2 linked regions of the Cricetulus griseus genome follow. The protein of the gene in region 1 interacts with the protein of each later gene in a pairwise test. Links are inferred from orthologs where the notes say so. Each region holds a gene or a part of one and is shown in the gene's direction. Other genes may lie near its edges. The genes, in order: Wdr4 and Rabggtb.

Region 1 (14,702 bases):
GGCGCCTGCGCGTCGTGGGGAGGGCCGAGTCACGTGCGTGTCGCGGAGGCCAGACTTGGGGTCTGGGTGCTCCAGACTGACCTGCCCGGAACCTCACTGGTGAGCCTGGTGTATTGCGAACTCTGCTGGCTCTCACCGAGCACAGGCGTGCTTCCCGCCCCTTGTCTGTGTCCAGCAACCCGGCTCTAGCTGCTGTGCGGGGTTTTTAGGTTTATACCCCGACACCTCCCAGTCCCAGGATGCACGCAGAGCCTGAAGCGGGCATCTCCCTCTTAGTCCTTCCCAATAGTGGTTTTGCTTTACGTTATTCCCGTAGTGGTGGGTCAAGGGATGCTTGACTCAAGTGAATGGTGGAGCAAGTAGTGACCCAGGAACCGAAGGACTTAGTGGCAGTCCGTTTTGGCTTCTTTTCCTTTTCCCATTTAGTTTCCGTACTCTGACATTTGAAGATTAGGAATGTTCCTCAGTTTGTGTCGTCGAGGGACTGCTATTGGCCAGCAAGGTTTCAGACTTGGAAAATGACTTTTCTTTCTGCAGCTCAGTGTTTAATTGGAAAAGTCTTTGGTGCGGCTGTCAATAGTACAAGGTGCTTTAAACCGGGCCAGAGCACCCAAGGGAGCTTAGGTTCTAATAGGGAGAGTGGGCGATTCCTATATGAGTAGGTGCCTGAGGCTTGTGGGGGCTTTCTCCCCAGCAGGTGAGACATGCTTCTGAACCATGTAAGGACAGCCTCGACTGTTTTAAATTTGCGAGCAGAGCTCAGTTGAAAATAACATCAGAACATGGGCTGGAGAGATGCCTCAGTGGTTAAGAGCACTGATTACTCTTCCAGAGGTCCCGAGTTCAATTCCCAGCAACCACAAGGTGGCTCACAGCCATCTATAATGAGATCTGGTGCCCTCTTCTGATGTGCAGGCATATATGGGGGCAGATTGTTGTGTACATAATAAATAAATCTTAAAAAAAATAACATCAGAATATAATCTCTTAGAATCAACAGTTTGGTGCCTGGAAGAGTCCACTGATTCCAGGTGTGCCCCACTGTGCCAGGTGGAACTGATTTAGAACAGAAACATGCTGGCTGTTCATGATACAGCCTATTAGGGGGTTAAGCAGATGACAATTCTTGGCTCTTCTGTCCTGGAGAAGGCCCCAATTCAATGATGATGAAATGTCCTAGAGTGACAAGAAGCAGTTCTGTGTGTTGATAAGCTCTCATTCTGGTTTCTTCCCTATAGTGACGATGACTGCGTCTTCACATACGACTGCAGTGCTGCGGAGAAAAAGTCAGTGCCAGGAGATAAAGGGTGAGATGGTGGGGAATCGTGCTCACTTGTGGTTTGAATGGTGAGACCAGTAAGCCGAGGCAGGAATTTCTAGTTGTGGGGCGAGGCTAAGTTCCATCTCAGAAAGAAACATGGAAATAATTTTAAGGGCCTTCCCAAATACTTTTAGTGTCCTTAGTAACCATTTTTTGTCACTGGTCCCTTAAATTAATAAGGAGCATATCAAATGCATTGAGAGCAGGTGTGGGGAATTAACTAATTGAAAGGGACACAGCAGTGTGTGATTGTTTTGAGTGGTAGCTTGGTCTTGTGACTCAGTTTGTTAGCGATATTATTGGTCCCTGCTTCTAGCCTTGGATTAGTCCATATCTAGGAGGGTTAGGCCATGTGATTGCTGAGAGTGCTTCCAGCGCACACTGGATGTTAGTGTGTTTGCAGAGGGCTCCTGTTGGTTTAGGTTTCACGCTTGTAAAATCAGAGCTGTTCTCTGAACTTCCCCTTAAGTTTCGTCACTATGCTTTGGCTACATGACCTGCTTGACCAAGCGTCTTCTGCCTTCCCTGTGTTAGAATGGACAAGCTTGGCAACTCAGGTGAGGCCTAACTGTTTTCCTTTCTTCCTCTGCCCTTCTTCAGGGAGGACGGACAGCCCATCGACAAGGGGAGTGACACGATTCTGGCGTCCACCTTCTCCAAGTCTGGCAGCTATTTTGCTTTAACTGATGACAGTAAGCGTCTGATTCTTTTCCGTACAAAACCATGGCAATGTCTGAGTGTCAGGTATGAAATGCTAACATTGAGTCATTAAGATGTCCTATGCACTCCTTGTCCTTGCATGTCATACATCAGCAGTGGTGACAGGGACCATTGTAATAGCAGCTAACATGAAGTGCCAGCTATGTGTGAGACACTGATTTCAGAGCTGTACATGCACTAACTGACTGAATCCTAATAGCACGGGAGGGTGGCCTGGCCCTGCTCCTCCACATGGGGTGGCGTAGGGTTAAGTAGCCGTTTCAGGACATGGAGCTGGGAAAGGCAGAGCCAGGCTGTGTAGCTGCTCCTCTGGCTGCAGTGTCAGTACCCTGTATGCCATATGTCTTCCTGCATTCCCCGTTGCTGTGGCCTCATATACCTGACAGGATTAGGACTGTTAGCTCACACTCAAGATGCCAGGGCTTTGGATAAGTGGCAGTGGCTGTTGCACATTTGTAAGCTAGGTGGTGGGCTACATCCTTTTGTGTCTGAGGAGAAGATAAAAGACGAGGTAGGTGTAGGGTGAGACAACTGGGCAGGACTGCAGGTGGGTATTCTAGTCATTTCTCCCAATAGGTACATAAATACGCTGCATCACTTACTCTTCCTCTCAAACTGTAACTGTCATTTCTGAAGGCAAGGTTCAGGGAGAGAAATGGGCCTGTGGTTATGGGGGAAGTTACGGTGGTGATGTTGAGGAGGCGGCTGTGAATCTGTGTTTCTGGAGATGCTGTTTTTCTCAGTGCCACCTTGTCCTCGAGAGTGGAGGTGGGTGTCACTGTGGACAGGATTGCATTTTGTTGGCTCGAACAACCTTGTAATACAGATGCTTTGGGGTTCCTGAGCCCGAGTCTTCTGCGGCAGTAGCACATGGAGTGAAGTCAGCCGGGCCTTACTTTTCCTGTGGCCCCCAAAACCCCTCTCCCACGCTCCCCTCGACCCAGCTGCTAGTGGAGCTGTGCTTGATTTTATCCATCAGTTTTCTAGTTGCTGTTTCAGATTCCCCAACAGAAGCAACTTAAGGAAGGAGGGTTTATTCTGGCTGGCTTTTCGGGGATGTGCCGTCATGACAGGCATGGTGCTGGTAATGTCAGGGGTGTGTTGATTGGGACAGGGAAGGCATGTGGGCAGAGTTCATAGTGTTGTTCACTCACCTGCTGGTATGTTAGGATTCGGAAAGCAGGGATGGATAGTCTCTCGAGGTCTGCCCTGGGGCCTTATGTTTGCCAGCTAGGCCCTCTCTTAAAGGTTCCATGGCTTCCAGAGCCACACCATTGCTATGGATAAAGTGCTCAAGCAGAGGAGCCTGAGGGGACCTGTGTGTTCATCCCGTCAGGTAAACTGCGGTAGCAGTGTTTGATTGAACTATTGGTATTCAGGGACTTCAGCTGAACATTTAGATTTTTAGTTCGTCCTATTTTCTAAGAGGTGAGTAAAAAACCAGCATTCTAGGTGGCATCAAAAGCAAGAACATTCCGGTGGTGGTGGTGGCGGCGGCGGCGGCGCACACCTTTAATTCCAGCACTTGGGAGGCAGAGGCAGGTGGATCTCTGAGTTCAAGACCAGCTTGGTCTACAGAGTGAGTTCAGGACAGCCAGGTCTACACAGAGAAACTGTCTTGAAAAACCAACCAACCAACCCCCCAAAATACCCCCCCTCCAAGCAAAAAACAAGAACACCCATTCTGCCCTTTTCCCATCGGCTTAAAAATAGAAGCCTACATCACTGCCTATCTTAGGATGGCAGTGTGTGTGTGCTTTTGCTTCTCAGATGGATAATAGATGTGCACTGTTTAGAAACAGAGCAGAACAAATTAAACAAAAGGACACTCATGGACCAGGCTTCCTCAGGCCCTCCCACAGAGGGATGATTCACCAGCAGGAAGTTGTCTGTCTTTTTTAAAATTTACTTATTTGTGTGTGTACATATATATATATGTATGTATGTATGTATGTATGTGTATGTATGTATGTATGTATGTATGTATGTAGGCAGATGTACACACACACACATATATACACACTTGGGTAGTTTGTCCTTCTACCATGGGATCCTGGGTTAGAAGTCAGGTCATCTGGCTTGGCAGCAAGTGTCTTTATCCTGGAACCCACTTAAGGCTGACATAGAGGGCATGCATCTGTAATCACAGCCCTCCAGCAAGCCAACCTGGTATACACAGTGGCAAACAATAGGAGATCCTGTTCAAACAAAGTGAAGAAGGCCAGGAGTGCTACCAGAGCTTGTCCTCTGACCTTCACATGTGTGCTGTGGCACACACATGCTTATATTCACACACAGGAACCCACACATATGCACATAAGATTTTTAAAAGAATGTGATGGTGACTCTCCTGTAGAGTAAAGGCTCTGGTTGTACAGATGTAGGCATGAGAATCACCTGATCACCATGACAGCACAGGTTCTAATGTGCCAGCCTTGGTTGGGATGGTCTGCCATGTGTTTGTTAGGTGCTGTGACTAGAGCCTGGTGCTCAGCATGTGTTCCACTGCTGGCCCCCAGTGTGCGATCCATTCAGATAAGCTTACTTGGTTATAGTGCTTCTGGGCTGTGTGGACTGCACGTGGAGCAGGAGATGTAAGCTTGGAGAGCTCTCTGACCTTCCCTTTAGATCCTGCATCAGGCCAACAGCACAGCTAGGGGACATGACAAGGAGACTCTGGTGCCTTCAAGGATAAAGGTGTGTGGAAGAATGCTATCTATGGCTTAGAAGGTAGCATCTGGAAGTGCAGGTTCTGAGAGCTGCTGTGCTGTATAGAGCTCCACTGGTTGGGCTCACAGTAATGTTATCCTGCTTTAAAAATGTCTCTTAGGGCTAGTGTGTGCCTCACTGGCATGTGTAAGGCATTAGATCTCATCTCCAGCCTGTGTAAGAATCTTTTTGAAAATGCTGTTTTTATTTTTACCTGTATGTGTGTGTGTCTGCTTGTCTGTCTGAACAATGAGTATGTGAGTGGTACCTGAAGAGGCCAAAAGAGAAAGTTAGACCCATTGGAACTGGAGTTAGAAATGGTTGTGGGCTACCATGTGGATGCTGGGAACCCAGGTCCTTTGCATGAGCAGCCAGTGTCTCTAATAGCAGAACTGTTTTCCATGTTTGCATGTGTTTTCTCATGCAGTATTCTCAGATCTTTAATTCTGATAGAAAGATCTCTATCCATTCTGCACACTGCCTTTGGAATTTGAGTTCATGCAGTTAGTGGGGCAAGGTAAAGTCCTTACTTTTTCTGTCTGGTGGGAGGTCTGACAGCAGGGTTTGTGGGGTAAGAGAGTAGGGGAGGTTGGTATGTCCAGGGTGGCAGGAGGTATGTGGGAGTGGGGGTTGCTCACTCCCCTTCACACTGGAGGCTGCCACACTCCACGGTCTGGTGGTTTTTTTACTTTGTGGACAGAGATCTTGGGATCTGATGCACCTGCTCCCTTGAGGAACACCACCTTTTATACCTGTGACATGCAACCTGGTTCCAGCAGTTGCCTGTATTGGACTTTGTGTATATCACATACCACTGGGACCCCAGGCTTCTCTGGGACTCCCTGGCTGAGACCAGCTTGGAGACTGTCCAGCTGCTGCCTTCATTTTTTTTTTTTTTTTTTTTTTTTAGAGACAGGGTTTCTCTGTGTAGCTCTGGCTGTCCTGGAACTTATCTGTAGACGAGGCTGGCATCAAACTCATAGATCGCCTGCCTCTGCCTCCAGTCTTAATGTGGAAGAATTAATGTGGATGGCCCTGAATCCTTTTCAGATGTAGTTCAGAGTAGTAGGGCCACAGAAACCACCACTTGGGTGGGTTACCGGGTCCTTATTGGCCTTTTGTGCTGGAGGTCATGGTTGCCAGCTAACTGCGAAGGGACAGATGGCACCTTTTAGCTTTGACGTGTGGTGTTATGAATGAGAAATCTTGAATGTGAAGTCGCACTGTTCCGGAAAGTGTTCTGCAGAAAGCAGTAGCAGCTCACAGAGAGTGGCTGAGTCTGCTCTGCTGTAGGCTGCCTGCCAGGGATGTGAATTTGGTAGAGCTTCCGCCAGACAGCTGTGGGACCCTTGATCCCTGGCAGGACCTGAGCAGTGTGGCTCTGAAGGCTGGCTTGGGACAGTGACCTATGTAAATGGGAGCTTCCAGGTTCAGCAGTGAGATGCTTTGGCAGAGACCAGCTTGTTCCCCCTTCTCTGGAACCCACCAGAGAGGAGAGTGCTCATGTTCTGTGGGGGTCAGTGGGGCTACTGCCTCAGTTCCTGGAGTGACCTGCCCTGCACACTGTCCGGTCTGGTGACCTGACATGGGCCCTGATTCCAAAATTGCTACCCACATCTCACACCTTCCCAGAGCTGCCTCTATGGTACAGTCCCAGGCTGGTGTTAACAGCATGGACATTCCTGCCTGGAGCTGAGTAGCAGCCATGGGCATGGGAAGACTCATACAGGAATCTGGTTCAGGGATTTTAGGATCCTGGAGTCCTCGTGGTTTGTTGGTGGTTTGTCTTGACCGCTGGGCAGAGCTTGTGCTTGGCACAGTTGCTCATTGAGTTCATTAGCACAGTCTCAGCTGCCAGGCGGCTCAGGCCATTTGTTTTGAGTCATTGGCCCCAGAGCCTAATTGCCTTTGTCTTGTTCTCCATTGCTCCCCTCTGGAGCAGCCACTGTGCAGCTGCACTGCTGAGAGGAGGAGCAGGGTGCAGCCACATCTTCCCTTTCTTCTTGTCTATGTGGAGCACTGCCCTCATGTTTCAGGTTCTGTTTCAGACCCACATATGGCCAACCTTCTGCTGTGCGTGTGTTGGTGCTGTTCTGCCCCAGCAGTGGCTCGGGAGAGCAGGGCTGCTGTGATGAGGGTCCTGGCACTGCAGAGTGTTAGGGTGTGTGTCCTAGAGAGTAAGTGGCGGGTGCAGAAGGATATGGTATACAGTTATGGGGTGGGGGTTTGGGTGCCCTCTCCTGGTATGGGAGAGGAGGAAACTAACCACTGCCACTTAACTGAATCAGCTTACAGATGGCATTTACTGTGGGACCTGGGCCAAGGATTGCTGTGAATCAGTTGAATTTGACAGACTTCGGTAGTCTAGGTGTCTGCCATGCTGTCCCTGTACCTTCTACCTGGGATGCAGGTTGGCCCATGGCTACCCTGTATTGCCTGTGGCCCACATTCTTCTGGGTATGAGGGGAGCGACAGTCTGATGGTACTTGGGAGCTTCCTGCCTCTAGGCACAGGCCTAGCAGCAGAGTCACAGGTGGTGGGATGGGTCAGGTAGAGCCAGATGGTGCTGCTGGCTGGGAAGACTCAAAGACTGGACTCTAGAGAGCATATGCTTTGTAGTATAGCTGGCCCTTGTCTCCTTCATCTGAGCAACAAAGGTTCTGGGGAAGGGCCGATTTCCTCAGCATTTTATCATGGGCCTTTCAAATGTACAATAAAACTGGGGTGTTTTCTATTAAGTACTCACAAGACCAGGCCTGGAACTTCAGTCCTCCTTCCTCAGCCTCCTGGGTGCTGGGATTACAATGTGTGTCATCATGCCTGCCTGTCTTTTTACTTTTACAGTTTAGTTTTGTTTTTGAGACAGTTTTTCTGTGTAGCCCTGGCTGTCCTGAAACTCACTAACCTCAAACTTAGAGATCTACCTGCTTCTGCCTCCAGAGTGCTAGGATTAAAGGTGTGCGCCACTCAGGTGGATCTCTGTGAGTTCGAGACCAGCCTGGTCTACAAGAGCTAGTTCCAGGACAGCCTCTAAAGCCACAGAGAAACCCTGCCTCAAAAAAACCAACAAAAAAAAAGTTGTGTTCCACCATGTCTCTGTGTCTGTCTTTTTGTTTTTATGTTTTTTTCCTGAGGGAGGATTATAGTATAGTTTAATAGGTTAAAAGCATTGGCTTTCTTTCGGTTCCTTTGTGCTGCTTTATGTTTGTGGCACCACCTTCTGCAGTGCAAGATACTGATTCTGCACGTACAATAGGTGCTTCCAACCTGGAACAGGTTGTGCCAGCTCTTCCTGAATTAGAGTTACTTTTAGGTTAAAAATGCATTGACTAGGATCTGGAGTGATGGCTCGGTGGGTTAAGAGCACTGGCTGCTGTTCCAGAGGACCTGGGTTTGATTCTCAGAACCCACATGGTGACTCACAACAGTCTGTTACTCTAGTAACAGGAGATCTGACGCCCTCTTCTGGCCTTTGCAGGCACCACGAATGTATGTGCACAGACATACATGCAAGTAAAAAAATTCATACACATAATAATAAAATGAAATCTATTTAATTTTTACAAAAATTATAATTTCACATATCAATCCCTTTCCCTCTTCCTCCCTCCCCCAATAAAATGAAATCTTAGATAAATGCATTGACCACCCCAGAGTGGAGCATCTGAGACTAGCCTCATCTTTGAAATGTGATCAGAATCACAGCTGAGCAAAGCTATGTAAGAGAAGGCCTTACACAGTTTGGTTGGTTACTTGGAGTCGGTGATTACTAAAAGTGAGAGCTGGGTGTAGGGATACACCTTTGTGCTATGGTAAAGTCAGAGTATTTTACGTCTAACTATTTTAAGTCGGGGACTGTCTCTCTGGCTGGAGGGCCTGTGTGGACTTGGGACACTAACCAGCTCAGCTCTCTGGTTCTGCAGGACTGTGGTGCGGAGGTGCACTGCCCTGGTTTTCACAGCCTCAGAAGATCAGGTCTTGGTGGCGGACAAATCTGGAGATGTCTACTCCTTCTCGGTGCTGGAGCCTGATGGATGTGGCAAGTTGGAACTTGGGCACCTCTCCATGCTGCTAGATGTGGTATGTGGGGGACACACAACACTGTCTGCTCAGCCAGGGCTTAAGAGGGGGCAAAGTGGGGGCAGGGACAGAGAGAGAGGAAACACGGGGCTCTTCCAGAGCAGCAGACTGTAGAATAGCATTGGCAGGTGAAGTGGGGTCCACTTTTCCCTTCCTAGGATTCAGCCAGGGCCCTAGCTTCCAGTCTGTAGAATGGGACAGACTGAGGTGGGGTAAGATCAAGGGCTGTGTGCAGTGTGCTGGGTGCAGTGCCTAGCTTGGCTTGGCTGCCGCTGTACAGTGGAGGATGGGGGGAGTGCAGCAGGTATGCCTGGGTGGCATTGGAGTTTGGTCTCAGTGTATAGAAGTGTGGCTCTGGCTCTCATTGAAGCTGGAGACCCTCCACAGTAGGGGACACTCCCTCCGTCCCCTGCCAGCTCCCATTGCTCTTCCAAGCTGCACTGCAGCTCCTCGAGAGAGTCCTTCAAAATCCAAGCGTTCTTGTGGTACTTTGCAAGGCCATCCAGTGAGTGGCTCTCCTTCTACTGACCCCTGGTGATGTAGGCTGTGAGTCCTGATGACCAGTTTGTGCTCACTGCGGACCGGGATGAGAAGATCCGGGTCAGCTGGGCTGCTGCTCCGCACAGCATCGAGGCTTTCTGCTTGGGACACACAGAGTAAGTGCAATCCTGTTTCCTCCTCAGTCAGGGAAGTCTAATGGATGAGGGTGGGTCAGGGCCCTGATAGCATGCAGCCCCTACTAGTCTACCAACAGCTAAGAGCTGCTTAGGCTCGGAAGGCCCTGCCAGGCCTGTGGTTCCCCCAGGTGTGACAGCTGCAGGGCTGTCGGCCATGTGAAGCAGTTGCTTTGAGCTTACCTCCTGGGCTGTTGCTCCTCAGCCCAGCTGAAAGTAGTCAGGAGACTGAGGAGCGTCCTTTAGCCACTTGGGCTGTTGGGAGTTAAGTGACTGGGTCCCCAGGTTCGTCTCCGCCTGAGCTCTGCTAGCAGGTGGCTCTAGATGAGAGGCATTGACGAATAGGGTGCTGTTCAGAAGGGAAAGGGCGTTATTGTAGATGGTGGAGAACCTGAAGGACTTCAGTTCTGAGCTGGCTCTGGTTTCTTGAGTGGGATGCAGAAGTTCGCCTTGGAGAGAAGGCTGGTGTCACTCAGCTTGTACCTTGCCATAGCTTAGTTGGCTTCCATCCTCCAGGGCTTGAGTGTTTGTTACCCTCAGTCATGTCCTCATCACTGTGTCTCGGTCACTCGATGAATTCTGAGCCTCGGCCCGGCTGGCACACACTCCTGGCTCAGGATCTTGACACGTGCTGATTCATGGGACAGGAGGGTGTGTGGGAGGCAGCCCTCTGCTCCTGTTCCCTACTTTCTTCTGGATGCTGCCTGCTTCCTTGGGGGGAGGGGGAAAGCTCCTCCTCCACCCTCTGCAGGAATCTGTCACTTGAATACTGTGACTTCAGTAAGAACTGGTCCTATTAGCCTTTTGGGTTTCTGCAGGGCCAGAGATGGAAGGAATTTTTTTTTTTTTTTTTTTTTTTTTTTTTGGTTTTTCGAGACAGGGTTTCTCTGTGTAGCTTTGAAGCCTATCCTGGCAAGAAGGAACCCTTCTGTGGCCTTTTCTATGATGGTTGTTCAGGCTTATGGAGACTAGTTCCCACTTACCTGCTGAAAACTTGGGGTGACTTGGGCCTGTAGAGTCCTCACAGGTTATTCCTCTTAGATGGCCTAAGACTAGAACTAAGCACCCTAAGAGATGGCAACTGTTGGTCAAAGACCAGCTGCAGAACAGGCCTGGGTCAGGGTGGTGGGGATGAAGGGAGCCATCGGGCCAACATATTGTACGAGTCCTGGGTCTTGTGAATGATACCTTGAGGTCTCTATAAAGAGCTGGTACAAGAGCAGTCTTGCTGCCTGGCAGGTGCTCCAGACATGTTTATGGCCAGAAGGACTGCAGGGTAGGTGTGGAAATTCCTGGAGAGCCAGCTTGCTCAGGTGCACTTCTGGTAGGGGTGGCGGAGTGGTTGTCGCTGTACTGTACAGTTAGAGGCCACGGAGCTAGGCTGAGATAGCTGGATCTTCAGGCGGGTTCCTTGGGACGCTAGTACTAGACTGGCTACATAGAGTGTAGCAGACCTTAGGGTCTGCTTTGACTGAAGTGTGCTCTTCCTCCTCCCTGTGCTGACCTTGAGTGTAGGCATCTTGGGTGGATGCAGGTGTGTGGGGCTGCATGTCCCTACAGTGCTCCAGCAGAACTGGGCCCTGCCACCCTTGGTCCAGATGTAATGTTGGGGCCTCGAAAGTGCCCAGCCGTGTTCTCAGACCTATGGGTCAGGTCTGCAGGATTTTCCTTTTCTGAGCAGGGTGAGGGACTCCCTCCTGTGTTCCTGGTGACTTATCTCCACTCCCCACAGGTTTGTGAGCCGCATCTTGGTTGTGCCCAGTCATCCTGAGCTGCTGCTTTCCTCCTCTGGGGTAAGTGTTGTGCTTGCTGGAGTGGTCACTGCTGGGCAGAAGACAGTAACCACCTCTTGTCCCCAGCGAGGGTGCCAAGTATTTCAGTGGGTGGCCGCTAGAGGGAGCTTCTTTCTGGCTCTTAGAGAGTGGCCACTTTCTTCATGGCTGTGTATATGGTTTGTGTGTGCATGGGTGTTCACTTGCCTGGTCCGGGCACAGCAGGCATTGTAAGTGGATTAACAGGGGAGTCTGGCCATCTTGGTGCCTTTGTCCGCTGTGCCATGGGCCGTGTGTCTTGGTTGGCCTGTCTTCTCGGAGGCTTTTCTAGGTGCTCCATGACATAATTGGTTAGCTCTCAGATATAAGGGAGCCCTAGATGTCAGTGGGGGCACTGGCCACACCCAGCCATGCCCTGTGTTTCCACTCCCCTCCCTTCCCACAGCCTTTTTTGCTTCTGGGACAGGCCTCTTGAGCCCACATGCTAACTCATCTGTGTGTGCACAGGATGGTACCTTGAGACTTTGGGAGTACAGGAGTGGCTGCCAGCTGCAGTGTTGTGACCTGGCTAGCCTTCGGGAGCCTGCAGACCATCAAGACCACAAGGTAACTTCATGCTTGCCTCTGGGGAAGTCATCTGTGAGAAACATTCTCAGTTTCTCACAGAAACATGTCAGTGTCTGATTTCTTCCTGTGCGGGAGAAACACACAGGATTTGTAGTTTTGAAGATGCCTGATCACCTGTTGGAAAATAATTCACATCTCTCAGAGAGGCCTCCGGGCACACATGGGCATGAGAAAATGATGTTGGCCGAGAGCCTTGCCTGTGCTTTGTCAGTGTGGACAGCGGGGGAGGACCCCCCCCCCAGCATTCTCTGTGCTCGTGGAGTGCCTCTCTTGGCACCTGCTGTACCCATGCTTCCTCTGGCAGCAGGGATGTTCCCAGATTTCTCAGCTATCTGTCTTAAAATTGGGTGGCATGGTGTCTGCCCTCTGCCAGGACAATGAGCAACAGGTGTTGTTTTCACACATCATGAAATTTGGGACTTACAGAAGCTGCTTCTGGGAAGCATGGAAGCCCACAGGACAGTTACCTGATTACAGTCCCTCTTGCCACATGTCCCTGCTTTCCTGACTATTCTGTTGCTTTGGCTGTGGGTCACACACACACTTCTGTCGTGTGAGGACAGGGACATTAGCTGCTATCCTCCTCCTCCTACTGATTCCAGAATGTTGTTGTGTCCTCTGTGCCCTGCTTTGGCATTATGAGGGATTTGTGATGCCTGTGTTCTTCCCCTATGGTGACCAGCCAGCAGAGCCTGGTTAAATAGCTGCTTTTTCTTGCAGGGGTTGGCTGCATCCAGGATTGCATTCTGGGGACAAGAGAGCTGCGTAGTGCTTCTGTGTGAGTGGTAAGACAGCAGGCTTCACTGGCAGCGGCCTGTGGCTGTGTCTTCTGTTAACTCCGCTGATTACTCTTCAGGGAGGGGGCTGGGGCCCTCTAATTAAGTAGAGGCATCTTCTACTTAATTGGTTTTGAAGTGTAGTTGCAGGAGATTCCATAGGCCAATTCCACTCAGAACTGATCTTGCTGGAATATGCCCAAGAGTTAGCACCATCTGGCAGATTGAGGGGCAAGGTGTAATTGAGGGGTTCTTTCTGCCCTTTCTCAATACCAGGGTAGATCTCTGGTGCTCTGCATTTTCTCCTAAGATAGCTCCTAGCTCTCCTTATGAATGAGAATATAGGTTTGGAGAAGAGAGAGAAGCTCCTCAGAGGCTGACCTCTTTACCAGTGGTTCTCGACCTTCCTAATGCTACTTCATAACTACAGTTTTGTTACTGTTATAAATCATTATGTAAAGAAACATGTGTTTTGAAAGGGTCCTTTGAACCCCAAAGGGGTCATTGGTCTATACACTTAGGGTGGGGTGGCCGTTTCACTTTGTCCTGTATTGGTTAGTTCTTGGGGTAGGATTCAAGACAGCAAACAAATACCATCTCACAGGGTTTGGGTGATTCATTTGGCTTCTGGCTCAGGGTCCAGGGTGGTAGAAGCAGGCCTGGTGCTAAGCTGTGTTGTATGGAATGCCTCCATGGGCCTGCGGTTGCAGTGGTGACCAGTCTCTCTCTCCTGCAAAGCGTTCCTGTGGTCTTCATCTTCCAGCTTGATGCCAGCAAACAGCAGCTGGTGTTCAGACAGCAGCTGACTTTCCCTCATCGAGTGTGGGATATCGTCTTTGAGGATTCGCAGGGGCTGTGGGTTCTGCAGGACTGTCGTGACGCTCCCCTAGTGCTCTGGAGGCCTGTGGGTGGTCAGTGGCAGGTGAGTATGTGCAGCATCGCCGTGTACCGAGCCTGTTGTTCTGATGGGGTGGGGTGGAGGTGGAGGTGTGGCAGGGTTTGGCAGGTGGATAGCTGTGGTTCCCTTACAATCCTGAACCTCAGATTGATCACATCTAGGTCCTGAGGCAGCTGGGACTGGAGGCCTCATGTAGGGAAGTGACCTGGGTGCTCGTCAGCATGTCCGGGCCCTGGTTTGGGCAGTTTTTCCTGTGTGCAGGGGTGTTCATTTGCCTGACACCCCATCCCATACTGGTGAAGCCAGCACTAGGCCTGATGAGGGCTGCTCTTCTGTTGTGCAGGGACTTTGCTGAGTACTGATGCGATGGCGCAGTGTGGGGACATCCTTGCCAATCGCATGAGGCTGTGGGTGAGAGGGGACAGCACCAGGAGCTCCTAGTCAGCTTCGGCTTCCTGTGCTGAGCTGCTGGGGCTGAAGGCTTTTATCTGACTAGCCTTAAGAGATAGTGAGCCTGTGCCTTAGGATGGGCCCTGCTAGGTCTCTGCCTGCCATCTCTGGGCTCTGGTTTGGTCCTGACCCTGCTTACTTGTCACTTGCAGGCTGTTCCTGAAGGTGCTGTGTCCAGGAGACTCTGCAGCCATCTTCGTGAGAGCTGGGCCATGCTAGAAGGTGAGAACTGTTAGTCTGTGGTACAGAGACGACATAGCAGAATGTGCAGGTGCAGGAAGGTGTGTCTACAGGCCACCAGCGTGTGTTGCTGCTGCAAGTGCAGTGAGAAGCAAGTGAGGACTTGGGGCCCTGTGTCCTGGTTGGTGTGGAGCTTGCAGGTGACCACTGTTGGATTTACTGGACAGAGAATGGTCATCCAGGCAGGAGCACCCAGACCTGGTCTTTTATGAAACAATTACTCAGAAAAAAAAAAAATTGTGCAAAACCAATTCTCTGTAGAAGTTAGGGTTCCTAAAGTCTACAGGATCTGATTTGAAACTTGCTTTCAGGGGTGTTTGCCCTCTGAAGCCTGCAGGCTCACTCGCCACAGAGCAGTCTGGTGGGGCACTTTCTTAGTTGAGATTTCCTTCTTTCAGAATGACTCCAGCTAGTGTTGAGTGGACATAAAAGTAG
Region 2 (14,802 bases), about 250 Mb from region 1:
TAAAACCAAGCCATGTTTTCCTTTCAGATTTATGAAGGTACTGCACAAATTCAGAGGCTGATCATAGCCCGTGAGCACATTGGAAAGTTTAAAAATTAAAGGAAATTGCTTTTGAAGAGATGCTTCATACTCGTGCAACTAAACCTCAAGGCATTGTTTATGCTTAAGAGAAAAAGAAGGGCTTTGTCTATCATCTTTCTAAGAAATGAAGTCAAAGATGAATAACACAGATCTGTGCAGTTTATTACAATGGTGGAATGCACCTCTGTTGAACTCCATGGTTTCAGGATAAATTTGGTTTATTGGAACAATGAGTTGTTCTTAATACTCCTGCTCCTGGATGATATTTGCTCTGTGATAACTTAAGTTACCACAGCTGATTTATAATTCTGAACATATTTACTTTGTTTTACACCAAAAAGTAAAAAAATACAAAAAAATTCACTTTTTCCATTATAAAACTGTAAGAAGTGCCGGGCGTTGGTGGTGCACACCTTTGATCCTGGCACTTGGGAGGCAGAGACAGGTAGCTCTCTGTGAGTTTGAGACCAGCCTGGTCTACAAGAGCCAGTTCCAGGACAGCCTCCAAAGCCACAGAGAAGCCCTGTCTCGAAACCCCCCCCCCAAAAAAAAATGTAAGAAGTTTCTGGAAAATCTTAATAATGAACCAACATTTCATTTGTCTCATTTAAAATAATTCAATAAAGCTAACCTTAAGCTATTTTTTTTCTGTGACTCTTAAGGAATGTATAAACCCTTTGGGCTGCTGTACATAGTTGTGTTTCACACACATGACTTTAAAAAGGAACTGAAATAGAGCAAGCTCCATACTATTCCACAGTGTCCCATGCCTGTGTGCAGTTTTGTTACTGTTAAAGACCACAGAAGATATAAACATGAAATGCCAGCCACGCCAGGCGTTGGCGGCGCACGCCTTTAATCCCAGCACTTGGGAGGCGGAGGCAGGCGGATCTCTGTGAGTTTGAGGCCAGTCTGTTCTCCAGAGCGAGTGCCAGGATAGCCTCCAAAGCTACACAGAGAAACCCTGTCTCAAAAAACCAAACAAACAAACAAAAAACACAATGAAATGACAGCCACAATTTGTGAATTTGGTATTAAGTACTACAAAATAAATTTATCAAAGTGGGGAATGTTTTCTGATTCTCCTTTTCTACGATATCTCCTGATGTTCTGACAGACTAGGGTCCTGAACCTTGGGTGAAAATAAACACTTCCTTATGTTGCTTTTGTCAAAGTATTTTATCACAGCAAAGAGAAAAGACTAGGACAAAACTATACTATTTGACACATTCTGGGTCTTTAGGCTACCTATACTCGATGCAACAAAGCTACCAATTCAGGTGTGGCCATGACCCCAGCGTTGATAACCAGCTGAAAGGGTTCAGAGCTCTGGAAAACACCTTATATGTGTCCATGTACCTCCATAAAGAAGACAACTTAGGAACATAAACTTGGTTAAACAGAAAAGGGGCTGAACACCATGGCACACACCTAGAATCCCAACATTGCTGAGGCAGGAGGATTGTGAATCTGAGGCAAACTTGGTGACACAGCAAGGCCTCCTCTTGAAGAAAAAAGAAAAAGAGAAAACTGGGGGAAAGAAAACTCGTAAGAGCACTCGCTTTTCTTAAGAGGACGCACTGTGGCTCACAACTGCCTATCACTCCTGCTTCAGAAGATCCAATGCTCTCTGCTGGTCTCTGAGCACCAGGAATATGTACAGTTATATACATACATACATGCACATAAAATAAAAATAAATCTTAAACCCCAGTAAATGATTTGAATTACTACGAGAAGGGTATAAGTTGTGGTAGTGTGTGTGCTTTGCACAGTGGCATGCACCTGTGTGCACACACACCCACACAATAAATGTGGAAGGAGAAGATCTCACGGTTGGGGAGATAGCTCTGTTTACAAGGGACTTGCTGCATACCTTGATGACCTCAGTGGAGCCCACGGGAGGTAAGGTTTGGCTGGGTGTGCCTGTAATCCCAGAGTGAAGGAGGGAGAGCAAGGTTGTGTTGACACCACAGCCAGTCTAGCCAAATCCCTGAGGTCTAGGTTTAGTGAGAAGAAACTCTGTTGCAAAACAACGTGGAGAGATTGAGACGCCCACCATTGAACCTTGGCCTTCACGCATGCATACACATATGTATGCACACCCCATAAAATGTGCACATGTATACACATACATGCATACACAAAAGGGTTTGATAGTCATCAGGGTTCTCTGGAGGAACTGAACATGCAGAGTGGATACATACTCAAAGCTTTTATTAGACGGGCTTACATGATGTGGTCTGGGTCGTCCAACACTGCCTTCGCCACCCAGTACCTGCTCCTTCAGCAAAGCTGGGCGTCTCGGCCATCACCACCTGGTGCTGAAGTCCTTCGCTCTGTGTTAGAGGCTTGAAGAAGCTGCGTTCTGGTGTCAGTGAAGGAGTGTGGCGGCGGCGGCGGCAGTGGCTGCAACATAAATTCAACAGTAAGACGAAAAGGCAATAAGGCAAAAGTGAAGCTCTCTCTGTAGTTCCCTTTTATCTGGGTCACCCGTGTAAGGTACCTCCCACACATAGTGTGGGCCTCACAACTTCCCATGCCCCACAAGTAAGAAAACCTCTCCCAGGAGCGACCTCTCTCAGGGCTATCTCATAGTTGACTTCTGATCCAGTAAAAGCCTTCAAGCCAGGCACTGTTAGCACACACCTTTGATCCCAGCACTTGGGGGCAGAGGCAGGCAGATCTCTGTGAGTTCAAGGCCAGCCTGGTCTATGCAGCGGGTTCTAGGATAGGCTCCAAAGCAATACAGAGAAACCCTGTCTCGAACAAACAAACAAACAAGATTAGCCTTCAACATTTCCCTCCATTTAACATGAATAAAAAATGATGGGGTAAAGAAATTAAAAATAGTGAAATATTTAGCCAGTGCCTTTTTTTCTTTAAGTGCTGGGGATTGTACCCAGGGTCTCACACTAACCAAGTAAGTGTTCTCCTGAGATATCTACAGCCCCAGCCCCAATGGATGCTGGCTGCTCTTCTTGTTTCTCATCTTTGCAATTCAACTGTGTCTTGCAATCAATGGCATCAAGGATGGAATAAGGGATTCTTGCCCTATAGGAATGATACAGTCAGCATGTTAAGGCCAACTTGGGACAGTATTTATACTAAATGCTAGTAATTTATGGTCCCAGCAGTTCACAACATGAACTGTTACTCCTGGGGGCTGGAGAGGGCGTTCTGTAGCTAAGGGCAGCTACGTGTTCCCGCAGAGGAGCTGGGTCCAGTTCCCTGCACCCACACAGCAGCTCACAACTGTGTGTGATTCCAGACCCTGGGGACCCTACATTATCTTCTGCCCTTTTCAGACACCAGGCGTACATATACAGGCAGGCAAACTCTCAATACTAAATAAAAATAAACAATTCTTTAAAAATATTGTTAATAACAAAGACTATTTCTGTCCTTTGCCTTTTGGGGTCACACTACATAACTCAAGCTGGCCTCAAACTGACCAAGCAGCCCAGGCTGGCATAGTATTTGTGACCCTCCTGTCTCAGCTTTCCAGGTGTTGGGACTATAGGCCTTTTCTACCATGTCAAGCTTGAGACGCCTTTATCATTTACACAGTGGCAGGTGTGTTTCTGTGCTTAACTAGACAGACATCCACTAAACAATAACAATATAATGTGAATTCTAGATTGTTTTAAATTTTCTAAGTCACATCTTAAAAAGTGAAAATAGAAATATATTTTAATATATTGAAATATATTTTAACTCAGTATACCAAAATATCACCTCAGCCAGCAAGGCTTCTTTATTTTGTTCTTTCGCCATTTCATACATGTATATGGCCACTGAGTCATGTGACCGTGGCTTTGGAGCAATCCAATGATGCCTGGTGGGCTTACCCTTGGACACACAACTGATGACTTTAGGTGTCGTGGGAAAGTGCCCAGCAGGGAGGGGCAGAGCACCAAGTCCCTTCCCATCTATGACTGATGGTTGACAGGGCCAGATGTGTGCAAGCCGGTGCAGACAAGCGCAGCTGCTCTGTTGAGGTGAGGATCGCAGAGGCTGTCAGGTCAGAAGATGGTCTCTCAGCCTTCTATCTTGTGTCCTCTTCTGTGGTGTTCACTAAGCTGTAGAGGGGGCCAAGAGCCTGCATTCACCATTGTTCACTGCACAGGGAGGCTTATCTAATGAATTCTGGGATTAGCTTTTGCATATGGGTATCACATAGATATGTAGAAGGCGGTCAACAGACAAACTTTAAAACGAGCAGCGTGTCACAGTTTCGTGTTTTACGGCATTTTAGGCTGGGCGTTGGTGGCACATGCCTTTAATCCCAGCACTAGGGAGGCAGAGGCAGGCGGATCTCTGTGAGTTCGAGGCCAGCCTGGTCTCCAGAGCGAGTGCCAGGACAGGCTCCAAAACTACACAGAGAAACCCTGTCTCGAAAAACAAAAAGCAAAACCAAAACAAACCAAAAAAGAACAAACCAAATAACCAGTTACAGCATTTTCCAGGTAGGCCTGACATTTCCGCATTGGGGGTAGAGGACCTGTGGCAGCTACGGTTGGGGGTGGGTGGGGCACATCCTATTCTTGGCAGGGGCAAACAGGGCTGGGGAGATGGCTCGGTGGCAGATCACACGCAAGTCCAGCCCCCAGGACCTCAGAAAAAGAAGGAAAGGGTAAGATGAAGAGGCTGGACCGTACTACCTGACCCGTACGGAGGGAAAACTAAGCCTTATGTTTGTGGTTTCAGGCATCAAACCCACAGCCAGGAGCCCAATTTTGTTAACTGGGTAACGGATGTATTTATCTTTTCGTCAGGGACTGTAGCCCGGGATGGCCCCCAGGGATTTGCACTGCAGACGCTCCTGCCTCCGCTGCCCCGGAGCGGGGCTCGCACAAGGCCAGCAAGGCCACACTTCCAGCCGCGGGGTCCTTCAGGCAGCAGCGTGGCCGGCTACATCGTGACCGCAGAGTCCTTCAGGCAGGAGAGCGACCGGCTAAATCCTGCGGGCGGCGGGGTCCTTCGGGCCGAGCGTCACCGTCTGGGCAGGGCGTGGGCGAGCGGGCGGGCCGGCGGGCGCGTGTGCGCAGGCGCGCGGGCCCTGACTCCCCGTGCTCCGGCGAGCCTCTGTCTTTTGGCGAGCGGACATGGTGAGAGCGGGGTGGCGGCGGTGCGCGGGCTGGGGCGGGCGGCGGGCGGGCGAGCGGGCCTGCAAGGCTCGCACTCTTCCTGGGCCCCGTGGCCTGGAGCTCCCAGCCATGCTCCTGCCTCGGACTCGGGAGGCCGCCCTGGGAGGGTCCCTGGAGCGATTGCCCGGCGTTCTCCGCAGTTCTCGAGGCTCCTGGTTTTGTCCGCCCGCTCTCCCTCCCTCCCTCCCTCCGGGCGAGCCTCTGCCGCTTGGGCGGCCTGACTGCGTTCTCCACCCCCGCCGCGGCTGGGTTTCCACCCCCGGTGAAGCTGATTTTGAGGTTTTTTCTTTCATTGGGAATGACTTGGAACATACAGATGCCAGGAAATCGTTAAGACTCTGATTCAGAGCTGCGCTTTTAACTGGGGTGGACGGGAGCCGGCCGGGCCCACACCTCAGCCCCGTCACGGCAGAGGCAGAGGCAGAGGCAGGGACAGGCGGGATCGCCTGGTTTCCAAACCAGCCGGGTCCGCACGGGGAGCTCAGGCCAGGCCGGGCTTCCTGGCAGAGACCGAGAGCCGACTCTCAGCGTGGGTGATGGGCCTGGCCGACTTGTGCCTGACACGGAGGGAGGAAGCGGGAGCAACACGGGAGCACTGTCGCAGGGGCTCTGTCGGAAGCGTCAGGCTCGTTAGCCAGGAACGTGCCTGCTTTGGTAGGCGCCATTCCAGGGCGAGCGCAAAACCGGTCATTTCAGGTCAGTGATGAGCTGGCATGTATTCTGAATCTGAAGCTGATTATCAACCACTTTAGCTCTAGAATTACTCTGAGACCTGAAAGGTGCCGGTTACGTGTTCGGGTCTGGGACGTCACGGGCAGAAGATGTAAATAACGATGAAATGTCTGCCTTTTTTCCGCAAGGGCACACCGCAGAAGGATGTCACTATCAAGTCCGATGCACCCGACACCCTGTTGCTGGAGAAGCACGCGGATTACATCGCCTCGTACGGCTCCAAGAAGGATGACTATGTGCGTATGGCCTTGGGTTGGCAAGTCTGTAAGTGGTGGTGAGCACTAGCTCTGTCGAGCATGACAGCTGTGCAAGAGGCGTTTCTGAAGTAGGTTAGGGTTTGCAGGCAGGAGGGGTCTGCTCCTTTCTGGCTGGGGTACAACCTTTAAGGTCGATGATGTGTTGGCATGTATTATCTGAATTCTGCTGATGTGTAATCACACTTTAGCTCTAGAATTACGCTGAGACCTTGGAAAGGTTTGCCTGAACATAATAGTGGTAGCATATCTGGAGAAACGCTGACGGGAGGTTGGGGACATTTCCACACCCCTGTGATGTCAGCTCCAAGGGGCTGAGTTGGGGGGGGGGGAAGCCCATGGGAAATTCAGAGACCTCTCCAAAGGGGAATCACTTACATAAAATATTTTCCATACAGCAGCTGTTTGCCTGAGTCTTAGCAAACACGTGTTGTTAGTAAACACTCGTTTACTAACTTGGCTGTTTCCATAACTTAGGCCCTCATTTTGGGGGGGGGTTATAGGCCTAAATGTCCTGTGGACCTCCTTGAGGCTCTCACTTGAATGAATGCTTATAAAATAATGCTTTATTAGCTGCAACAAGGTTCTGAAACCCACGTGGGTTCCATCTTTAACAGTGTTTATATTTCCATATTCATGGACTTCATTTGTAGGTTGGTGTCTGGTAAACAGTGAGATATTGCTTGCTTTTGCTCTATCTGCCTGTAGTTGGCACTTGGGAGACTCTAAAGCCTCATTTAAAGTTGGTCCTGACTGTCTTAAAAATGAGGTGTGTCGTATGTGGGACGGATTGATGAGCTTGAGAAACTTCCCCTAGGAATACTGTATGTCTGAATACTTGAGAATGAGCGGCATCTATTGGGGCTTGACGGTGATGGATCTCATGGGGCAACTTGATCGAATGAACAGAGAAGAGATACTGGTGTTCATCAAGTCGTGCCAGCACGAGTGTGGAGGAATCAGCGCTAGCATTGGACACGACCCGCATCTGCTCTACACTCTCAGTGCTGTCCAGGTAGGTGACTGGATCTGGTTTGGGGGAGGACAGTGAAATCTGTATCTTATGTCAGAAGTCAATACTACAGTCCGTTTGAGGGAAGTCCTTCCTGCAAGGTCGGTGATGTCCTGGCATGTATTAGCTGAATGCTAACTTGATGCAAATTCTCAAGTGATGCTGAGACCTTGGAGGCTAATTTCCCCTGTGGCTGACTCTGGCTACGGTGAACATTGGTTTTAGAAAAGAGCAGAGGGTGGTTTGAGTTTGAGATTATCAATGGTTTGTGTAGCAAAACTGTGACTAGGGGGAATAACTAGCGTTAACTTGAGGATACATGCTTGTGTGTTTGGGAAACTGGTAGTACAGCATGGAAGGCCTTCTTCAGTTGGTGACAACTACTCTTGGATACTTGCCTTTTCAGATTCTGACTCTGTATGACAGTGTTCATGCCATCGATGTAGATAAAGTTGTGGCCTATGTCCAGAGTCTACAGAAAGAAGATGGTTCCTTTGCTGGAGACATTTGGGGTAAGATTTGTTTCAGTCCGCTATTCCATACGCAGAACATCTTTATCTTGGTAGTAATCATAAGATTTCAAGTTGTTCCATCTTTTCAGGTCCCACTAAGCAGTTGGTCTAACTGGAATAAATGGCCTGCTGGAAGTCCCAGCATGCCCCGTGCTGGTTTGTCAGCACACCACACTCTAAAAAGATAAGGTAGGTTCAAGTTTTATCCCCAATATTCGGTAGCTAAACTCCCTGAAAAGAGGAAGTCTTTAAAGGTTTATCAAAACTCTAAGTACCTGAGTTGGGACATAGAAAAATTATTTGAGTAATGTAGATAATTTGTTTGGGGTGGAACAAAATGCAGGCCTGAGACCAGCTGCTTTGTGGGATATGAACCTCTTGTAAGATAGGGTGTTAACATTATTAACTTGAATTTACTGGCATAATAGTCCTTGCATTTTGTAGGTTTCTTCCCTTTTGGGGTCCTCTGAGCTACTTAGAAAGGCTGTTAGTTTCTATTCTAGCTGGTTTCCTTATGTTTTGGGGGATTGCCTCCATTTTTAAATAAATATAAGTTAACCTGCTTTGGGAAATTGAATGAAATTGTTAGTGGAAAACTTGTAGCATCTATATGACTGCCTTGGCTGTTTTTTATCTTTCAGGAGAAATTGATACCAGGTTCTCATTTTGTGCTGTGGCAACTTTGGCTCTCTTGGTAAGCTTTGAATTTGTTGAGGGACCTAATTAAGCATTGGTGAGTGCTCTGGGTAGTTGTAATATATTTTATTTCTTTTTGTAGGGCAAGCTTGATGCTATTAATGTGGAAAAGGCAATTGAATTTGTTTTGTCCTGTATGAACTTTGATGGTGGATTTGGGTGCAGACCGGGCTCCGAATCTCACGCCGGCCAGGTAATTTTGCTATTAAGATTTAGGAGAGAACCTATAACGAGAAGTTACTGGTTATGATATCTGTATTCAAATTATACGGGCCAAGCAAAAGCCAGAGAGAAGGCCTCCCAGAAGAGACCCCCTTAAGAATTCACCCTGGCGTCATCCTGAACCTCCCCTGACCACGCCCTGACAGGCGGAGTCAAGCACACCAGTAGCTAGCTCCTAGGAGGCGGGGCTACAGTGTCTCCCTACAAGAACCTATATTGAAAGATGAACAAGCCTGGCATTGGTGGCCCATTCCTTTAATCCTTAATCCCAGCAGAGGATTAAGGGAGGCAGAGGCAGGTGGATCTCTGAGTTCGAGACCAGCCTGGTCTACAAGAGCTAGTTCCAGTACAGCCTCCAAAGCCACAGAGAAACCCAGTCTCAAAAAACCAAAAAAGAAAAGATGAGCAATTTTTTAAAATAAGTTTGTGTTGTAAATAGCCACACCTTGTGAGGTAAAGTTTGGGGTATGTGGTGTATACACAGCTTTAGTTCTCTAATGAATCCCTACCTGGGATTGCAGGCATGAGCCTCCATGTGTGACTTTAACTTTAATTAAACAATGAAAGCCTTCTAACCTAATCCACTGTGTCCAGGTCAGCATGCCATTTGCTTCTCTACAGAGCATTTTCTAAATTGTATTCCAAGTGTGGCATTTCACTGAGACATTGACCCTAATAATACACCTTGGGGCTGGAAAGATGGCTCAGCAGTTAAGAACACTGGCTGTTTTTCCAGAGGTCCTGAGTTAAATTTCCAGCAACCACATGGTGGCTCGCAACCGCCTTGAATGAGATCTGGTGCTCTCTGCTGGCATGCGGGCACAAGACTGTATGCATAATAAATAAAATCTTTAAAAAAATAATACACCCTGATACAAGATGGAGTCTTAATAGTTTTGGTAGTGCTTGTCACTCACTATTAAATTATACCTGTGTACTTTATGTCTGTAATTTTAGATCTATTGTTGCACAGGATTCCTGGCCATAACCAGTCAGTTGCATCAAGTGAACTCTGACTTGCTTGGTTGGTGGCTTTGTGAACGCCAGTTGCCCTCAGGCGGGCTCAATGGAAGACCAGAGAAGGTATTGTAATGACTCTCTGTTACAACCTGACTGGGTGGTGCTCTGTGCTTAAGAGTTGGCTTAATTTCAGAGTGACTGGTCATAGTAAAAGTAGAACTTGGTGTGCAGGTACTATCTGACTAACTTAGTGCATTTTCTACCATGGTGTGCTCAAAAAAGATCCTGGGTGGGCTCAGCGTTTAATTGAAACACACCACCTGGGAGGCACAGGCATGAGATCTTTGGATTTGAAGCCAGTCTGGTCTGTTTGGGGAGCCCCAGGATAGCCAGGGATCTTAACCCAGGCTCATCAGGTAACATGCATAGTAGACACAGAATAGGCTGTGCCGTAACACAGGCACAGCAAAAAAATTTAACTTGAATGAAATGAAGTATGTTAGACATGCCATCCCATCCCAAAGCTGCCCCCGACACCAAGAGGATACTTATTTTTGCAGAGCATTTGATCTGTAGCCATGTAGTATGTTTGCTGTGGGAAATGCTGGCACAGAAGTATAACTAACAGAATTTCATCTGTAGTTAGTTCTGTGTGGGGCTTGCTGTGTGTGAGAGACAGATAATCTGCTATCTCATGTGGTGGGTGGAGAGGTGTGCCCACGGGTAGTCTCTGAGCAGGGTTAGTGTTTGAACTTTGGCTCAAACAAACTAGGATATCTTAATGTGCTTATTAGTCACGGAGCTCAGTAAGATGCAGATTGTTCGAGCTGAAGGATCTGCAGGCTGAATTCTCAGGTGTGTCCACCTGGACAGACTAGTGGAAAACAGTTTGCCTAGAAAACCCTGTCTCAGCTTTCATGAGTCTACACTGATATCCTCAGCTGAAAACTAGACTAAGATTTAAGTTAATGTATACTTGCCACCTAGTACTGAGTTGGTGTGAGCACCAGTGTGTGGGGAGTGGTTTCTCTCACCTCACCCAGTGTTTGTTCCTGGGTTTTGGTTGCAGTTCTTGTGCATAGCCTAAGTGGCCTGAACTGTAGCACTTGTGCTGCCTCAGGCTCCCTTTTTGTTTTTGGTTTTTCGAGACAGGGTTTCTCTGTAGCTTTGGAGCCTATCCTGGCACTTGCTCTGGAGACCGCGAACTCTCCGAGTGCTGGGATTAAAGGCGTGTGCCACCAATGCCCGGCCTGCCTCAGGCTCTTTAATTCTGGCTTGTGTCCACCATTACCCGACACCCCCTTGCTCACTTCCCCAGTGTTGGAGCATGGGATTAGACATAAAATTCTATCAAATCTACAGAAATGGAGCGGTAATAGTGCCGGCAGTCTAACTGGTTTCTCCCCCTTGTAGTTACCGGATGTGTGCTATTCCTGGTGGGTTTTGGCCTCACTGAAGATAATTGGGAGGCTTCACTGGATTGACAGAGAAAAACTGCGCAGCTTCATTTTAGCGTGCCAAGATGAAGAGACTGGAGGCTTTGCAGACAGACCAGGAGATATGGTGAGTAGTACCATTTTTGCAGTTTTTCATTGTTGGCTGATTTCTATGGTTCTGGGCCTGTGAAATAGTACTTCATATGTAATAGTTCAAAGGTTGCTTTGAGAGCTTTTGTAAACATGTAACATAAAGGCTGGAGCTTACAGAAATGCAAGCCTGTGTTGGTCACAGCTCAGGGCCTCAGGCACATTCACGTGGCTAGCGGAGCAATATTGCTGCCTGGAGCAGTAAAACCTGCATAGGCGCCTGTGGATGGCGGGGTGGGGGCGGGAACTGAGTGCATGGCAGTGGAGGTGGTTTACAGGTTAGGAAGGGTTAACTCACTGTTTTAAGTCTTCTGTCAAGGACTGGCAAAGCAGAGACCTTGAAATGCAGCAGTATCTTAGGTCCCCCTGTCAGGAGGGTTTGTTTGTTTGAGACAGGGTTTCTCTGTGGCTTTGGAGGCTGTCCTGGAACTAGCTCTTGTAGACCAGGCTGGTCATGAACTCACAGAGATCCACCTGCCTCTGCCTCCCGAGTGCTGGGATTAAAGGCATGCGCCACCAACACCCACCAACACCCGGCTGTCAGGCGGCTTTGGGCCTTCCCAGCAGGCTCGTAGGGAGCTGTGGGAAGCTGGAATGGGTCCTGGATTTCAGGGCACCAGGTATTTATTAAGTCACCACAGGAGACGACGATCCTTCCATGTGCTCACTGTTCCTTAGAACCCATGCCACATCATCCTGTAGCCAACGTCTAACAGGCATGGCTTATTGTCCCCAACATCGTGGTCCTGTAAATCAACTTATTAGAATTGTGTACAAAATGAATAAACTTCATTCTATGGACAGATTATTGAGACTTCGTCTTTTAACTGTTTGTAAACTTCCCACAGGTGGATCCTTTCCATACCTTATTTGGCATTGCTGGATTGTCCCTTCTGGGAGAAGAACAGATTAAACCTGTTAGTCCTGTCTTTTGCATGCCCGAAGAAGTGCTTCAGAGGGTGAATATCCAGCCTGAACTAGTGAGCTAGAGTCAGATAGGAAAGATAAGTGCAATCCCAACACTGCTGTATTTGAAGTGTTTATCAAACCTAGAGGTGACTGTTAATATTTTGTATATCATGTTAATGATAAATTATATAATTAAATGTATTGTAAAATAAGTATGTTGTAGTGTTCTAAGTAGTTTTTGTCTCTACTTGAAGTTTTTTTCTGATCCCCCCATAACAGCAAACTAGTATTTAATTCATGTCTCCCTGTGTCTTCTTGACCTGTAACAATTGTGTGGAAAATGATTTTTGTTAACTGATACAAATGAGTAAAACTCATGATTTAAATAAAAGATGTATACAATTGAGTGGCTGTGTGTGTAGCTGTTTCTTTGGAGCTCATAATGTTTTTGGAGATGGAAGGTTAAAGGATTATCTCCAGGGCTGTAAGCCATAAACAGCTGATGGGGGAGGATGATGGGTGGGGCTTTGGGTAAATTTCTTAGGAAGGCCTGTCTCTACTATTGGCTTGAACTTTGCAGGCATGCAGCTGTCTGAGTCATTTTTGTTACCCCTTCCTCTGCCCAGGGTTTTTGTGTTTTGCTCAGCCTGTTTTGCATCTACCTCTGTTGACCACGCTGGCCTTGAACTAGAGATCCACCTGTCTCCCAAGTGCTGGGATTAACCCTATTTGCCACCACGCTGGGAAATCCGTTCTTAATTGCTTTACTTGATGGGTTTAGGTGGAATTGTTTCTTGGGTCTGCTGGGCTCCTGTCTGAGTCATCTCTGGAGACTCATTGGACATTTGAGATTATATTGGCTTTGAATATGATTAGTATGGGATGGTCACAGATTAGGTGAACTGTTGGTATAAATTTGGATTTAGTACATACCTGCTTGTGCATCAGAATTCTCACAGATGATGCTATTGGTTTCTTTTTCTTGAACCTCTGCCCTTTTACATGCAAAAGGAAAGGAACAGCGCCTTCCCCCCTTTTGAAACAGTCCCAGATTGCACTAGGTTCCAAATCATCACCCACCAAGTGCTGGGATTCCAGCATGTAGCCTGTCAAAGGCACCCACCTGGTCTTCTAGGTAGTTAGTGTCCAGGTGTGCTTAGGCATTTGTGTCACAGACCATGAGGCTACACATACTGGAATGTATGCTTTTAATCGGGGCCTGGTTTCAGAGGTTTGGGCCATTAGCGTGGTGGCCCACAGCAGACATGCTGGTGGAGCGCTCTAACATCCTGATTGCCAGAGGAAGAAACTGGCTTGAGCGTTTGGCCCCAGGGACACTTGCTCCAAGGCCACAGCTACACCAGCAGGCCTGCCCTGCACTGCCCTCCCTAAGCATCCAGAGGGAAGAGGCCGGGCAGCGGGCGGCGGGCATTCTTAGACCCCTACACTGCATGTGTCCTCATTTCCAAAGGTCCGCTGCAAAGCTGCGTGTGCAGCCACAACGGCGGAAGTCAGGTCGGATGGGCAGCGGCTGGCGGGACTGCGGTGATGTCGGGGCCGACGCTGCGCGCGCCCCGCACACTCGATGAGACAGCGGGCACTGGGCTCGGGTAAGCGCGGGGCACGCGGTCGGCGAGCAGGCCCCGGCCGGCCCCGCCGTCCGTGCTTGTTGGGTGTGAAGACACTGGAAACAGGAGAGTGGACGAGCGGCAGGGGCCTTGCGTCGTCGGGGCGAGCGCCTGCTTGGGCGCATGCGCTGTCCTGCACCAGCCCTGCGCCGGCGCCTGCGCGGTGCGTCCTCCCTGCGCCCCGCGCGCACGCACTGCGCCTGCGCCTCTTCTCCCGCCTTTTCAGAAGGCGGCCTCGGGCGGTGCAGCGCGCGGCTCCTCACGTGTCGGGAGGAGGGCGAGGATGCTGAGGCAGGAGGCCGCCTCCACCCCGACTTCCCCTCGCGGGACGCAGTCCGGGAGCACCACCCCGCGCGCACGGCCCTTGGCCTACGCTTCCCGGCCCAGCACTGAGGGCGCCGCGGCCGACAGGAGCAGCAGCAGCAGCGGCGCCACTGGCAGCAGCCCCGGGCTGCCCACGCCAGGCAAGGCCGCGGAGTCCGGCCGGGGCCTCGGGCGTCAGGCCACGCGCGGTGGGCGGGGCCTCGGGCGTCGGGCCACGCGCGGTGGGCGGGGCCTTAAATCCTCCCCAGTGGGGGCAGGGCGAGGTGGGGCTGGTTGGGGCCTTTAACCCCAGCACTGGCGACCACAGTTCAGGGCTAGCCTGGGCTACAGAGCGAGCTGGTCTCAGCTGCAAAGCAAGCAGAACGGGAAGAGAAAGTCTGGACTCTCCTCGACGGTTTTAAGAGCGGAAAGGAAGTGTGGCCCACCTCTGCTGAAACTAGTATTTGCCTGCAAAGCCTCAGCCTCCTCTTGTGGTGTCAAGGCCGGTTCTCTGTGGCCCAGGCTTCCCTTGAATCCACTAATAGAAAAGCCTGGCCCGAAATTCTTCAAGCAGTCCTCCTGCCTTAGCCTGCCATGCGCCATCATGCCTGGCCTTTAGTTTCCTCAACAACAACAACAACAACAACAAATATATATATATATATAATTATATATTATATATATAATATATAATGTGTATGCGTGCATGCATGTTGGAGTGTGTGTGTGTGTGTGTGTGTGTGTGTGAGCATACATG

What was found.
Region 2: the proteins of Wdr4 (region 1) and Rabggtb interact in binary tests that used the Homo sapiens proteins (3 or more experiments, as listed by UniProt). The two-hybrid records come from large-scale screens. The link is inferred for Cricetulus griseus from reciprocal best matches to the Homo sapiens genes WDR4 and RABGGTB.

The regions. Positions count from the first base shown.
Region 1 is NW_023276806.1:259,831,348-259,846,049, reverse strand, and holds part of Wdr4 (tRNA (guanine-N(7)-)-methyltransferase non-catalytic subunit WDR4), read left to right. Parts: exon of another isoform or gene 1-99; intron 100-327; exon of another isoform or gene 328-518; coding exon of another isoform or gene 519-586; intron 587-1,238; coding exon 1,239-1,307; intron 1,308-1,921; coding exon 1,922-2,065; intron 2,066-8,657; coding exon of another isoform or gene 8,658-8,673; coding exon 8,674-8,830; intron 8,831-9,373; coding exon 9,374-9,486; intron 9,487-11,236; coding exon 11,237-11,297; intron 11,298-11,783; coding exon 11,784-11,882; intron 11,883-12,623; coding exon 12,624-12,688; intron 12,689-13,417; coding exon 13,418-13,601; intron 13,602-14,179; coding exon 14,180-14,249; intron 14,250-14,702. UniProt on the Homo sapiens protein: Non-catalytic component of the METTL1-WDR4 methyltransferase complex required for the formation of N(7)-methylguanine in a subset of RNA species, such as tRNAs, mRNAs and microRNAs (miRNAs).
Region 2 is NW_023276806.1:5,469,952-5,484,753, forward strand, and holds Rabggtb (geranylgeranyl transferase type-2 subunit beta), read left to right. Parts: upstream 1-5,064; 5' UTR 5,065-5,189; coding exon 5,190-5,192; intron 5,193-5,926; exon of another isoform or gene 5,927-6,006; intron 6,007-6,091; coding exon 6,092-6,199; intron 6,200-6,349; exon of another isoform or gene 6,350-6,431; intron 6,432-7,034; coding exon 7,035-7,232; intron 7,233-7,329; exon of another isoform or gene 7,330-7,401; intron 7,402-7,635; coding exon 7,636-7,741; intron 7,742-8,382; coding exon 8,383-8,435; intron 8,436-8,519; coding exon 8,520-8,630; intron 8,631-9,616; coding exon 9,617-9,742; intron 9,743-11,032; coding exon 11,033-11,182; intron 11,183-12,053; coding exon 12,054-12,194; downstream 12,195-14,802. Other genes in the region: Acadm (medium-chain specific acyl-CoA dehydrogenase, mitochondrial), read left to right, coding at 28-99. UniProt on the Homo sapiens protein: Catalyzes the transfer of a geranylgeranyl moiety from geranylgeranyl diphosphate to both cysteines of Rab proteins with the C-terminal sequence -XXCC, -XCXC and -CCXX, such as RAB1A, RAB3A, RAB5A and RAB7A.